3 linked regions of the Rhinolophus ferrumequinum genome follow. The protein of the gene in region 1 binds, or shares a complex with, the protein of each later gene. Links are inferred from orthologs where the notes say so. Each region holds a gene or a part of one and is shown on either strand. Other genes may lie near its edges. The genes, in order: cytochrome c oxidase assembly factor 1 homolog, ECSIT and TMEM186.

Region 1 (3,749 bases):
TTAACAGTGAAAATCTGAAGCCATTACTTTATGTTCAGGAACACGATCGGGCTGTCCCCTATCACCTCTGCTTTTCAACATAGTGTGGGAAGTCCTCGCCAGAGCAATCAGGCAAGAGAAAGAAATAAAAGGCATCCGAATTGGGAAGAAAGAAGTTAAACTGTCACTCTTTGCAGATGACATGATGCTATATATATAAAAACCCTAAAGACTCCACCAAAAAACTATTAGAAACAAATGAATACAGTAAAGTTGCTGGCTACAAAATCAACGTACAAAAGTCCATTGCATTTCTATATACTAACAATAAAATCTCAAAAAAAGAAATAAAAAAAAAGCAATTCCTTTTGCAATTGCAGCAAAAAGAATAAAATACCTAGGAATAAACTTAACCAAGGATGTGAAAGATCTATATATTGAACACTATAAGACATATTTAAAAGAAATTGAAGAAGACACAAAGAAATGGAAAAACATCCGCGCTCATGAATTGGAAGAATCAACATAGTTAAAATGGCCATATTACCCAAAGCAATATACAGATTTAATGCAATCCCGGTCAAAATCCCAATCGCATTTTTTAAGAAATAGAACAAAAAATCATCAGATTTGTTTGGAACCACAAAAGACCCCAAATAGCTAAAGCAATCCTAAGAGAAAAAAAAAACAATGCTGGAGGTATCATACTCCCTGACTTTTGCTTGTACTACAGGGCAACAATAATCAAAACAGCATGATATTGGCAGAAGAACAGACACATAGACCAATGGAATAGAACTGAGAACCCAGAAATAAACCCCCACAAATACTGACAGATAATTTTTGACAAAGCAGCAAAAAACATACAATGGAGAAAAGACAGCCTGTTCAATAAATGCTGCTGGCAGAATTGGATAGCCACGTGCAAAAGAATGAGACTGGACTACTATCTGTCACCATGTACCAAAATTAATTCAAAATGGATCAAAGACTTAAGCATAAGAACTGATACAACAAACTGCATAGAAGAAAACATAGGTACTAAACTTATGGACCTTGGGTTCAAAGAGCATTTTATGAATTTGACTCCAAAGGCAAAGGAAGTAAAAACTAAAATAAATGAACGTGTATATCAAACTTAAAAGTTTCTGCACAGCAAAAGAAACCATTGAGAAAATAAAGAGGCAACAAACTGAATGGGAGAAGTTTTTGCAAACAGTGCCTCCGATAAGGGGCAAATGTGCAAAATTATAAAAGGAACTCATGAAACTCAACAACAAAAAAACAAACATCCCAATTGAAAAATGGGCAGAGGACCTGAAGAGACATTTCTCCAAAGAGGACATACAAATGGCAAATAGACATATCAAAAAATGCTCAACATCACTAATCATCAGAGAAATGCAAATAAAAACCACAATGAGATATCACCTCACCCCAGTCAAAATAGCTATCATTAACAAGACAAATAGTAAAAAGTGTTGGAGAGGCTGTGGAGAAAAAGGAACCCTCATACACTGTTGGTGGGAATGCAGACTGGTGCAGCAGCTATGGAAGGCAGTGTGGAGGTTCCTCAAAAAGTTAAGAATAGAATTACCATATGACCCAGCAATCCCTCTCCTGGGTATCTACCCAAAAAATCTGAAAACATTTATCCATAAAGACACGTGTGCTCCAATGTTCATTGCAGCTTTACGTAAGGTGGCCAAGACATGGAAACAACCAAAATATCCTTCGATAGGTGAATGGATAAAGAAGTTGTGGTATATATACACAATGGAATACTATTCGGTGGTAAGAAAAGATGAAATAGGACCATTTGGGACAACATGGATGGATCTTGATATTATAATGCTAAGTGAAATAAGTCAGACAGAAATAGTAGAGAACCACATGATTTCACTGGTATGTCGTATATAAATCGAAAACAAGAAAAGAACAAGACAGACAACTGAAACAACAAAAATTCATAGACATAGACAATAGTTTTGGGGTTACCAGGGGGTAAGGGGTAAGCGGGCAGCAGGGCTCCAGAAGAATGTAAAGGGGTCTAATGTATGGTGATGGAAAGAGAACTGACTCTGGGCAGTGAACACACAATGTGAGATACAAATAATGTGTTACAGAATTGTACACCTGATATCTATGTAACTACTAATAATTGTCACCCCCATAACCTTTAATTTTTTTTAAAAAAGTTTAAGTAGAGTTACTACTTCTATCTGAAGGTGAAGTAGACCAATAGAATACCTTGAAGTAGAGCAATACAGCTCAGGTGAGAATGGGTAAGAGTTAGCAGAAGATATAAGGCGTAGCAAGAATCAAAATTTAAGAACCTTCTTAGATTTTTAAAATGTTTAAATTTTTAAAATAACAAGGCGCGCGCGCTCACACACAGGTACCGTCTGCGCCGCTGAAAATCACTTCTACAGTCATCCCTATAAGGAGCTCAAGTGTGCTCTGGACAAAATTATTATGACCACTGCACCAGAAACTTCTACAATCATCTGGGCAGCGTCGTTCTCCGAGTGACGTAACAGGACAAACAACAAAGTGCCCAATTCCACCTCTTCTAGAGGACCCCCAGAAGAACGGCTTCACAAATGTGCTCTTGGGACCGCTTAGCAGGGACTGCAGGACAAGCCAAGGTTAGCTACACACAACCTCAGAACTCCGGGTTGTAAAAGCATCTAGTAGAATCCCAAGGCGCGGAGCCCACCGCGGCCGCCTAGGCACCGACCACACCGCCGAGGGAGGGTGCGCCACACCCGGTGGCGGCGCGAACGTCCCCGAGGCGACCCTTGAGGGCCTTCCCTGGCAGCAGCACACTCTCACGCAAACGCAGCCACCCGGAACGCTTGAACAAACTTGCTGAGCGTAGGAGATCCCCAGACTCTTCCTCCCAGGGAAATCTAACCCGTCAGCGAGAGCCGTACAGACCACAGCACGCGCGAAGATCCCTGCTGGAAGTGGGGAGTGGGCGGGAAAAGGCCGCGGGCGGGCCCGCCCCGGAAGAGCAGTGGAGACTTCCGGCGTCTCCTCCTCCGGAGGCTAGAGCGTAGGGCGCGGACACGGCTTGCCCAAAGTGGATTCGCCGTGACTGGGAGGCTGATCCCAGGTTGAGATCGCCTTGGCAACCGGGCTTCAACTTCCTAGACGCTGGGACGCGCGCCGGAAGGGATTCCTCTGGTCAAATCTCCGTTGTTTGTTTTCTGGAACCTGGTAGCCCACATCATGGGTTTGGTGCAGCAGGGCCCGCTTAGGACGTTTAAACCACTGGCTTATATTGCCCCTCCCAGGGACCTCGCCGTTGGCAAATCCCGGAGGAAGTGAAATCACGAACCCTCTGATATCCACTATGGCACTGAAGTCCATCTTGTTCCTTTCGGCTGAAAATTTAGCAATACTAAATTTTATTTTATTTACCAAATGTTTACGTATTAACTGCCTATGGTGCTCCAGGGAATGCAGGGGTAAGAAAAAAATTAATGATCTCTGTTCGCTTGGAGTTTAGTAGTAAAATGGGTAATAACAGTATTTACTTAATAGGTTTGAGTATGTAAAGTACTTAGAATAGTGCCTGGCACTGCATAAGTGCCCAGTAAACATTAGCTGTTATTATTTTCATCTTGATCATTCCATGGTCATCATCATCACTATTATCATTTACATTTTTAAAAAGATTTTTATTAAAATATAGCTAACATACAATATTAGTTTCAGATGTACACCAGTTATTCAACATTTATATACCTAACGAAGTGATCACC
Region 2 (3,749 bases), on another chromosome or scaffold:
TGCTGGCCTCATCAAATGAATTGGGAAATGTTTAGATTATTCTGATCACTATTTAAACTTTCTCTAGCATCTCTCATCTTGACCTGAAGTCTCCCTTCAGCCTCTGCTCCACATCTCTGCTCCCTTTACAGCAAAGCTTTTCCTGAGAGGTGTCTACATACTGTGTTCTACTCACTCCAACTTGGCTGCTGCACTAAACACTCCACTAACACCATTAAAGGTCCCTGTGTGTTCTAAACTTACCAAAGCCAGTGATTATTTCTCAGGCCTCATTTTGCTTGAGTTCTCAGTAGCATGTGGCATGGGTGAGGCCCTCCTACCATCTTCTTGACAATCTTGATTTTCTTCCTAGCACCCAGGTCTGTTTCTCAGCTAATCAGCAAGATCCACTTCCTTCTCTAAAGTTTACAATGTTTGCAAACTTGAATGTGTGGACGAATCACCCGGGATCTTGTTAAAATGCTAAGTCTGATTCAGCAGCTCTGGTGTGAAGCCAGACTCTTACACATCTAACACACTTCTGAGTGATGCTAATGCTACTGATCTTACTTAAAGACCACACTTTAAGTAAGAAGGCTACAAAGAGTACTACATTCTGAATTTGTCTGTTTACTACTCTGAGGTGTCATTCAACTTGTTCCTCTGTTCTTTGTATTCCTGTGGGCAGTTCATGTTAGAGTCATCTAGGGAACTTTAAAAAATTGCCATGTCCAGGCCATACTCCCGATATATTAAATCAGAATATCTAGAGGCAGGGCCCAGGCACCAGCATTTTAGCACACGCGAGTGACTCTCATATACAGCTAAGATTAAGACCTTAATTGAAACATTCACTACTCAAAGTGTGTTCCAGGAACCAGCTACATTGGCATCATCATCTGGGAGTTTATTAGAAATGCAAAATCTCAGCCCTAACCCAGACCTACTGAATCAGAATCTGCATTTTAACTAGAGTCCAAGTTTCTTCTATGTGTGTTAAAGTCTGAGAAACGATGATCTATGTGCAGATGAATCGAAATGTTTATCGCCAGCTGTGAGCACCGTCCTCCATACCTAATTGCACTTCGGTATATACTCAGCCATCTCAAACTTAATGTGCTCTTAATTTGTATCCCTGCTTACACTTGTTCCTCCCCATCCTAGCCAATGACACCATCATTCCTAGTCATTCTACCACAAACCTAGGATTCACTGATGAGTCCACTGTGTCCCTTATTCCCCTATTCAATCCATATAGTCCTGATGACTACTTCCAAATCCATCCCAAATGCATCCACTTCTCTCCATCTGCAGGCCAACACCCAGGGGCCTCTTTCCCATCCTCCCACTTCTTTCCTTACTTGTCTCCAGTCAGTTCTCCCAACCTGGGCCAAAGGAAGCTTTTTAAAACGTGAACTATGTTCAGCATTCTCTGCCTAAAATTACTAATGATATATCTTACTTAAGATAAAATCAGACAGTGTATACCCTTCCAAACTCAACTCTTACCACTGACAGCTCCAGCTACCTCTATCTTAAACAAGCTAAGTTTATTATAGTCTCAGAGCCTTTGCACTTGCTTTTCCTTCTGTTTGGAAATTTCTTCCCCCGATCGGTCCACAGGTGTCTCTGGTCATTCAGGTTTATATTCAAATTAGAGGCTTCCCTAACCACTGCTGCCCCACTCCCTATCTAAAGCCTCCATCACTCTGATAAATGCATTTTTAGCTCCTAGTAGCATCTGAAATCACCTGTTCTCTTTCTTTCTGACTTGTTCAATGTCTGGCCCCTCCCCCCGCCCCCAGGAGATGACGGATTTTGTCTGTCCTCCTCATTGCTGTGTCTCCAGCACCCGGAACAGTGCCTGGTAAATGATAGGTACCTAACAAGTATCGGTGGAATGCGAAGAAGAGCTAAACTTCTACAAAGCGTCTATAATCCATAAATCTGAATCCCATAGCCAGGTGTACCTACAGCAGCTTTGAGACCGTCTGCCAGGATTCTGGGCTTCTTGGGAGAAACGGGCAAATGGGGGTTTGAATACCAGCCTAGCTGCCGACCTGCGGCGTGACCTCGGGAGAGGTCCTTAACCACGCTGAGCCTCAGCTATCTCATCCGCAAAATGGGCAATTAAGGACAGGAAGAGGCGGGTGCACAGAGGGAGGCCTTTCCCCGCACGTCCCAGCCCCGCACCCTAAAAGGTCATGGTGCCCTGGTTCTGCAGCCGGGTCCCTCTGGGCCCGCCCTTCCGCGCTGCCGGTCCAGAATGGGCCTCCCCGGGGTCCTGCAGTTCGCGCTCGCTTCCCCACGCGCGACCTACCTACTCACACGGGTGGCCGCGGAATCCCAGCCAGCTGCCTCTTGCCGCTGGGCGCCGCCATGTTGCCCGGAGAGCTTCCAGGTCATGGACCACCATGGCCACAGCAAATCAAGAACGCCGGTGTAAAGAAGTCCCGTCCAAAGGGGATGACCACCAATAGGAAGGCAGATCGACCTTGGTACCGCCTAGTAACGAGCTAGGCCCCACCCCTAACAAGGCAAGCCACATCCCTGACCAAGCGAATTGAGGAATATGGCCGGGGAAGGAGTGAGAGGATCGTTTCCGGGTTGGGAGGCTGGACTTGGGGACGGCCGTGAATCCAGTTGGCGGTCCGTTTACCCACGTGAAATGTGGGAATGAAATATTAAGGGTGCAAGTATCCCCAAACGTGTTAAAAATGTAGTGTGTGGGTCCCTGTATTTATACTTCTCCCCTCTGTGCAGCATGTCCATGATCACCGGATAATCCCTTTACCTCCGGGCAGGGCGACAGTAGAGATGGTGTATCTGGCATCCGCCCCGCTGACTACAGGAGCTGGGCAGTCGGACATAGGAGGTACCTGGAGCGTGGATGTGGCTGCAGCGCAATACACCTGCCCATCCCTATGGTTCCCCCCCTCTTCCGTGGTTCAGCCTCCTGACTTTGTCTTGCGCCAAATGAGCTTCTGGGTGCTGTGGGGATAGACTCAGGAGTGCAGTTTCCAGGCTCTCACCTTCATGTGGAAAGGTGCTCACTCTGGTAGTAACTGGCCATCAACTGTGATTGGATGGCTATCAGCTGTGGCTAGTTGGCCATCAGCTGTGGCTAGTTGGCCATCAGCTGTAACCAGTGAGCCATTGGCCACTAATGTAACTGCTGTGGCTACGCTAGCAGAAAATGGGGGCTAGCAAAAGGACGGTGGCTGAGCTAGCAAGAGTGGATTGCAGTTAGCATGGCTGATTGCAGCTAGCAAGTGGGGTTGGTTGGCAGAGAGAAGTGGACGGCAGTTTGAGGATAGTGTGGCTCCTACTTCCTGTGTCTCCGTCCCAGCAGTTGGGGAGAATATAGTGGTATGACTCCCCAATAATGGCTCCGTGGGTGTTCCTTTTTGGCCTCACCATATCCTGCATTCTAATGCGGGGAGTGGGACCAGAGACCCCGCATGACACCCTGCATGACAGCGCTCAGCCAGCGCGTGTTCCACAGCCTCACGTGGGCTCAGAAGCACCTTGGAGTCACGCAAATGCCTCCAGGAAGTGCGGGGCGGGACCTGAGGGCCTGGGTCTAACTCCCTTTTCCTCCTTCACTCCCCGCCCTGACCTCCTGCCCTGGTGCCCGTCCACCCTCCTCTTCCTGTCCATGAGCGCCCTCAGGCGGTACAAACTGCTCTCCAAGGAGAAAATCAAAATCAACCTCACTCCATGAGTCAGCTGGGCCAGGGAGGATGTTCTCCACACCACTCCCACCCCTG
Region 3 (3,749 bases), on another chromosome or scaffold:
CCCTCTGCTGGTACTGCGTGAGCAGATCACACGTCGACGTGAAGGTTTTCATGTCAAGGCTGGTGAGAAGCCAGCACTCATCCCCCAGTGTGGTGACACTTCGGGGCAGCGACTATCGACCCAGGCTACACATGAAAATCACCTGGGGGACCTATTTGTAAATAGCTCTCCAGGTGATTCGGCACATGGAGCCAGGGCTTGAGAACTTATTCTTTAGGCAAAAATTGGCCCAGGAACACAAAGTCCACAGAGGCGTCTGACGTGAGAGCCCCTAGACCTCTGGGTAGTGATCATGGTCCCGGCAGGAGTGCTGTGCTCTCTGGGATGACACTGCTGCCCCAGTCATTGTGCAGCTACTGTCCTGGCAGAATGAAAGGACCCAGCGCTAGGCTTCATCTCAAGTCCCGTCTCCTGCTGGGTCCATTGCACCATCACCTCTGAATTAACTAACGCTTAATATTTGCTCCCACCTGTTGAGTTTGCAAAGCACTTGACATTTATTGTTTATTCTCACACCCATCTCACAAGACAGGCAGGAGTTTCCATTTAAAAAATGCAAAACCAAGGTTCAGAGACTGACTTACCTGCCCCAGGACAGGGAGTTGAGAACAGACAGAACAGAACCCAAGTCTTCTGACTCCTAGTCCTATGCTCCCCTGGCCACACCTCTCTTCCCACTTCACTGCACTGTACTGAGTGAAGTTGGCATAGCTTCCTCCAAAACAGCCACTTCTGGCCATTACCTACCAACGTCACCGACGGCGCAGTAAGAATTTGCACCACGGGCCTCTTTCCTAAACCAGGTGACTAGCATCCACCTGGTGAACGTTCTCATCCCAAAGCACAAGTTCCCAGGGGCCCTGGCAAAGTCTCCAACTGCCAGATCTCCTTCTTTAGCCTCACTCACACCCTCAGGCTTCTGTCAGAGATCCAGGCAGCCCAGTGCTACCCGGAAGCCCAGCGTCCAGATGTTCAGTTGCGCGTGTCCAGCACCCCAAACACCTGCGTGAAACGCTCTCTGTCCACGATGCGTCCATAGCGCAGGGTAAGATAGAAGGTTTGCTTCCCACTGTACTGCTGGATCCGCACGAATAGCTCCTGAGGCCGGTCCTGGGTTTCTGCCAGGGGGATGATGTCAGCCACTGGGCAGTAAGTGTCCTGCCGCCAGCCCCAAAAGGTCAGGTGGGCCACCCGCAGCACGGTTCCTGACTCGTTCAGGTACAGGATACCCACCAGCCTCCGGAAGAAATAGCTCATCCAACACAGCATGGTCAGGGCGAAGCCAGCTATCCCACCCACAAGGCACAGGGAGTTGAGAGTCATGAGGCCCTGGGAGTACCAGTAGAAGCCAGGTGGCAGGGCCACCACCGTCAGGGCCGTCTGTGCCACCTTCAGCTGAGACAAGTACCCAAAGGCTCTGATGGCATCCAAACGGTAGACCATGTGGAATTTCTCTGTCTCTGTGCCCAGTGGTCTCTCCTTCGAGGTGGCCGACCTGCTCCCCACGCACCTCCTAGGATCCTGCCCACTGCGGTACCACAGATGGTAGAGTGGCCTTCCCCACACGGTTGGCCCTGGCCACCGCGGCACAGCTCGGAGCAGGACAGCCTGGAAGGGAGACAGGAGACCATTTCTCTCAAAGAACTCAACCGTGCCCGTGACACAACCAACATCGGCAAAGATCTTACATGGAGGCTCCCACCAACCCTGTAAGGTCACCACTATTGCCAAAGCCAGAGGAAAGGTAAACCCAGATGCTTTACCTCACGTGATCTTCACAAAAGCTGTGTGAGACAGGAACCACTACTTCCACTTTACCAGTGAGGAAACTAAGCCCAGAGAAGTAAGAAATTTACCCAAAGACACACAGCTAGTGAGTGGGGCAGAGTCTGACTCTCACACTGGCCCTCTTTCCTCCAGGCAGTTCAAGTAGGTATAGGAAAGGAGGTGCAGCCTTCATTCATTTAACAAATACCTAGGGAGAGCCTACTCTGGGCTGGGCGCTGGAACTATAAGGCTATGTGAACACTTCCCCAAGCAGGAAACTAAACAGTCAATGTCCTGTGGACAACAAATTCGTGAGCTATATAGTATAATAACTTTTTGACTTTCTTGTCAGGTTAAAGAGTCATCTGGGTGTTTTCTTAGCCTTGTTTGGAGAGGGGGAAGGAATGGAAGAGGAGGGAAGGATGGAAGCACAAGGATTTTAGCAGGGGCCCAGTTCTACACCTTGAGTAGTGCAATGAAAGATGCTTTGGGTTGTGGAATCAGATCTAGGTTCCAATCAACAGATCTGGGTTCCAATCCTGACACCTAAAGTCACTAGCTGTGGATGCGTGGACAAGTTACTCCACCTCTCTGGGCCTCAGTTTCTTCATCTTTGAAATGGGGATTCAGAACATACTGAATGAGATAATGGTTTTAAAGGCCTCAAATGCACTTGATGGACTTGATAAACTTGCTACACAGTGAGTTTTAGTTATTGCTATTGTTGACCCACGTGACCTGAGTGCACAGGAAGCCCGGGAATAAGAAATCGTAACCCACCCCGGAGGCCTCTCCCGCGCGCTTTCCCCGAATCACAACCCCAGGCGTCGGCCTGACTCCGACCCCAAAAGCGCGTCAATTCCCTCAGTTCCCACCACCCTCCTTCTTACCATGGTTCTGCTGCCAGCTGTCGTAAGCGAATCCCACCTGCCCCCGGGATCGCTAAGAGCGCATGCTCGGCCGAAGCAGGACTCAGTGGACGCATTGTATTCTGGGATTTGTGGTCCAGTGAGAATAGCTAGTCCCAGGCACTGTGGGAGGGGATTCTCCTCCTCCCAGCGTGCCTTGCCGCACGGAGGCCGAACCCGGAAGTTCCGGGCCGAGGTTCCGGAGCCAGCGAGTCCTAGTAGATGCGGTGTGGAATCTGGGGACATGGCTCTGCCCGGCCCGGCGCTCTGCCTCTTCGACGTGGACGGGACCCTGACGGCTCCGCGGCAGGTAGGCGACGCCCGGCAGGCTGGAGGCAAAGGCTGCGGAGCCTCCTGCTGCTCCCTAATGGGGCTAACGACCCCCCAGGGTGTGCGTGGGGCGGGGGGGGCTAAGGACCGCCTACCTTTTCTGGCGGAGCTGAAGTCTATAGTGGGGGACCTGGAGGGATGAGACGGAAGACCTCAGTATCGTGGTCGCGCGCGGCTGCCGAAAGAGTAGCCGGCGGCAGCCGGTGTCTGTTTATTTAAGGAGAGAAGCACCGACAGAGGAGTTGCGGGGGGCGGGGGGGCAGTCTAGAGTAGACTGCTGCACCGATGAGAAGCTATGTTGGAGTTTTACTTTTTTCTATGCAGGGATGTGGGGTGCTTGTCAGCTTGCAGGGGTTGCCGTTATAATTGGTTTCTTCTGGGAACCGTTCTATTCCCACAGCTAGCTGGGGGTTGGGGGGGATTCAGAGCCAAGCAGTTAGTTTTTAAGCTCGTTCCTGTTAACTCTCAAGCTCCTGTTAACTCTCGTTCCCGTTAACTCTTTACCTGTCGCATCACTCAGGGTACTTGGAGATGGGACAGGGCCGAAAATTTCTTGAGAGCAAGAAACTTGTATTGGGTTGGAAAACGCAGTTCTGGACTGTCACTGCAAGCCCTGGGTTTGAACCCCAGCTCAGCCCGCTTACAGCCATGTGCCCTCCTCAGTCCTGTCACCTATGGGCTGTGCTTTGTAGCCTGTTATGAAAATATCACATAGGTTTTCAGGTGGAAAAGACCTAGTAGGTT

Evidence for each region.
Region 2: cytochrome c oxidase assembly factor 1 homolog (region 1) and ECSIT share a complex: the UniProt entries of both Homo sapiens proteins name them as parts of the mitochondrial complex. The link is inferred for Rhinolophus ferrumequinum from reciprocal best matches to the Homo sapiens genes COA1 and ECSIT.
Region 3: cytochrome c oxidase assembly factor 1 homolog (region 1) and TMEM186 share a complex: the UniProt entries of both Homo sapiens proteins name them as parts of the mitochondrial complex. The link is inferred for Rhinolophus ferrumequinum from reciprocal best matches to the Homo sapiens genes COA1 and TMEM186.

The regions. Positions count from the first base shown.
Region 1 is NC_046303.1:57,539,981-57,543,729, forward strand, and holds the start of cytochrome c oxidase assembly factor 1 homolog, read right to left. Parts: upstream 2,999-3,749; 5' UTR 2,920-2,998; exon of another isoform or gene 2,897-2,919; intron 2,816-2,896; exon of another isoform or gene 2,641-2,815; intron 1-2,640. UniProt on the Homo sapiens protein: Component of the MITRAC (mitochondrial translation regulation assembly intermediate of cytochrome c oxidase complex) complex, that regulates cytochrome c oxidase assembly.
Region 2 is NC_046301.1:39,075,724-39,079,472, reverse strand, and holds the start of ECSIT (evolutionarily conserved signaling intermediate in Toll pathway, mitochondrial), read right to left. Parts: upstream 2,402-3,749; 5' UTR 2,396-2,401; coding exon 2,308-2,395; exon of another isoform or gene 2,300-2,307; intron 362-2,299; exon of another isoform or gene 244-361; intron 1-243.
Region 3 is NW_022680357.1:9,031,240-9,034,988, forward strand, and holds the start of TMEM186 (transmembrane protein 186), read right to left. Parts: upstream 2,922-3,749; coding exon 2,658-2,921; intron 1,609-2,657; coding exon 973-1,608; 3' UTR 1-972. Other genes in the region: PMM2 (phosphomannomutase 2), read left to right, coding at 2,920-2,985. UniProt on the Homo sapiens protein: As part of the MCIA complex, required for efficient assembly of the mitochondrial complex I.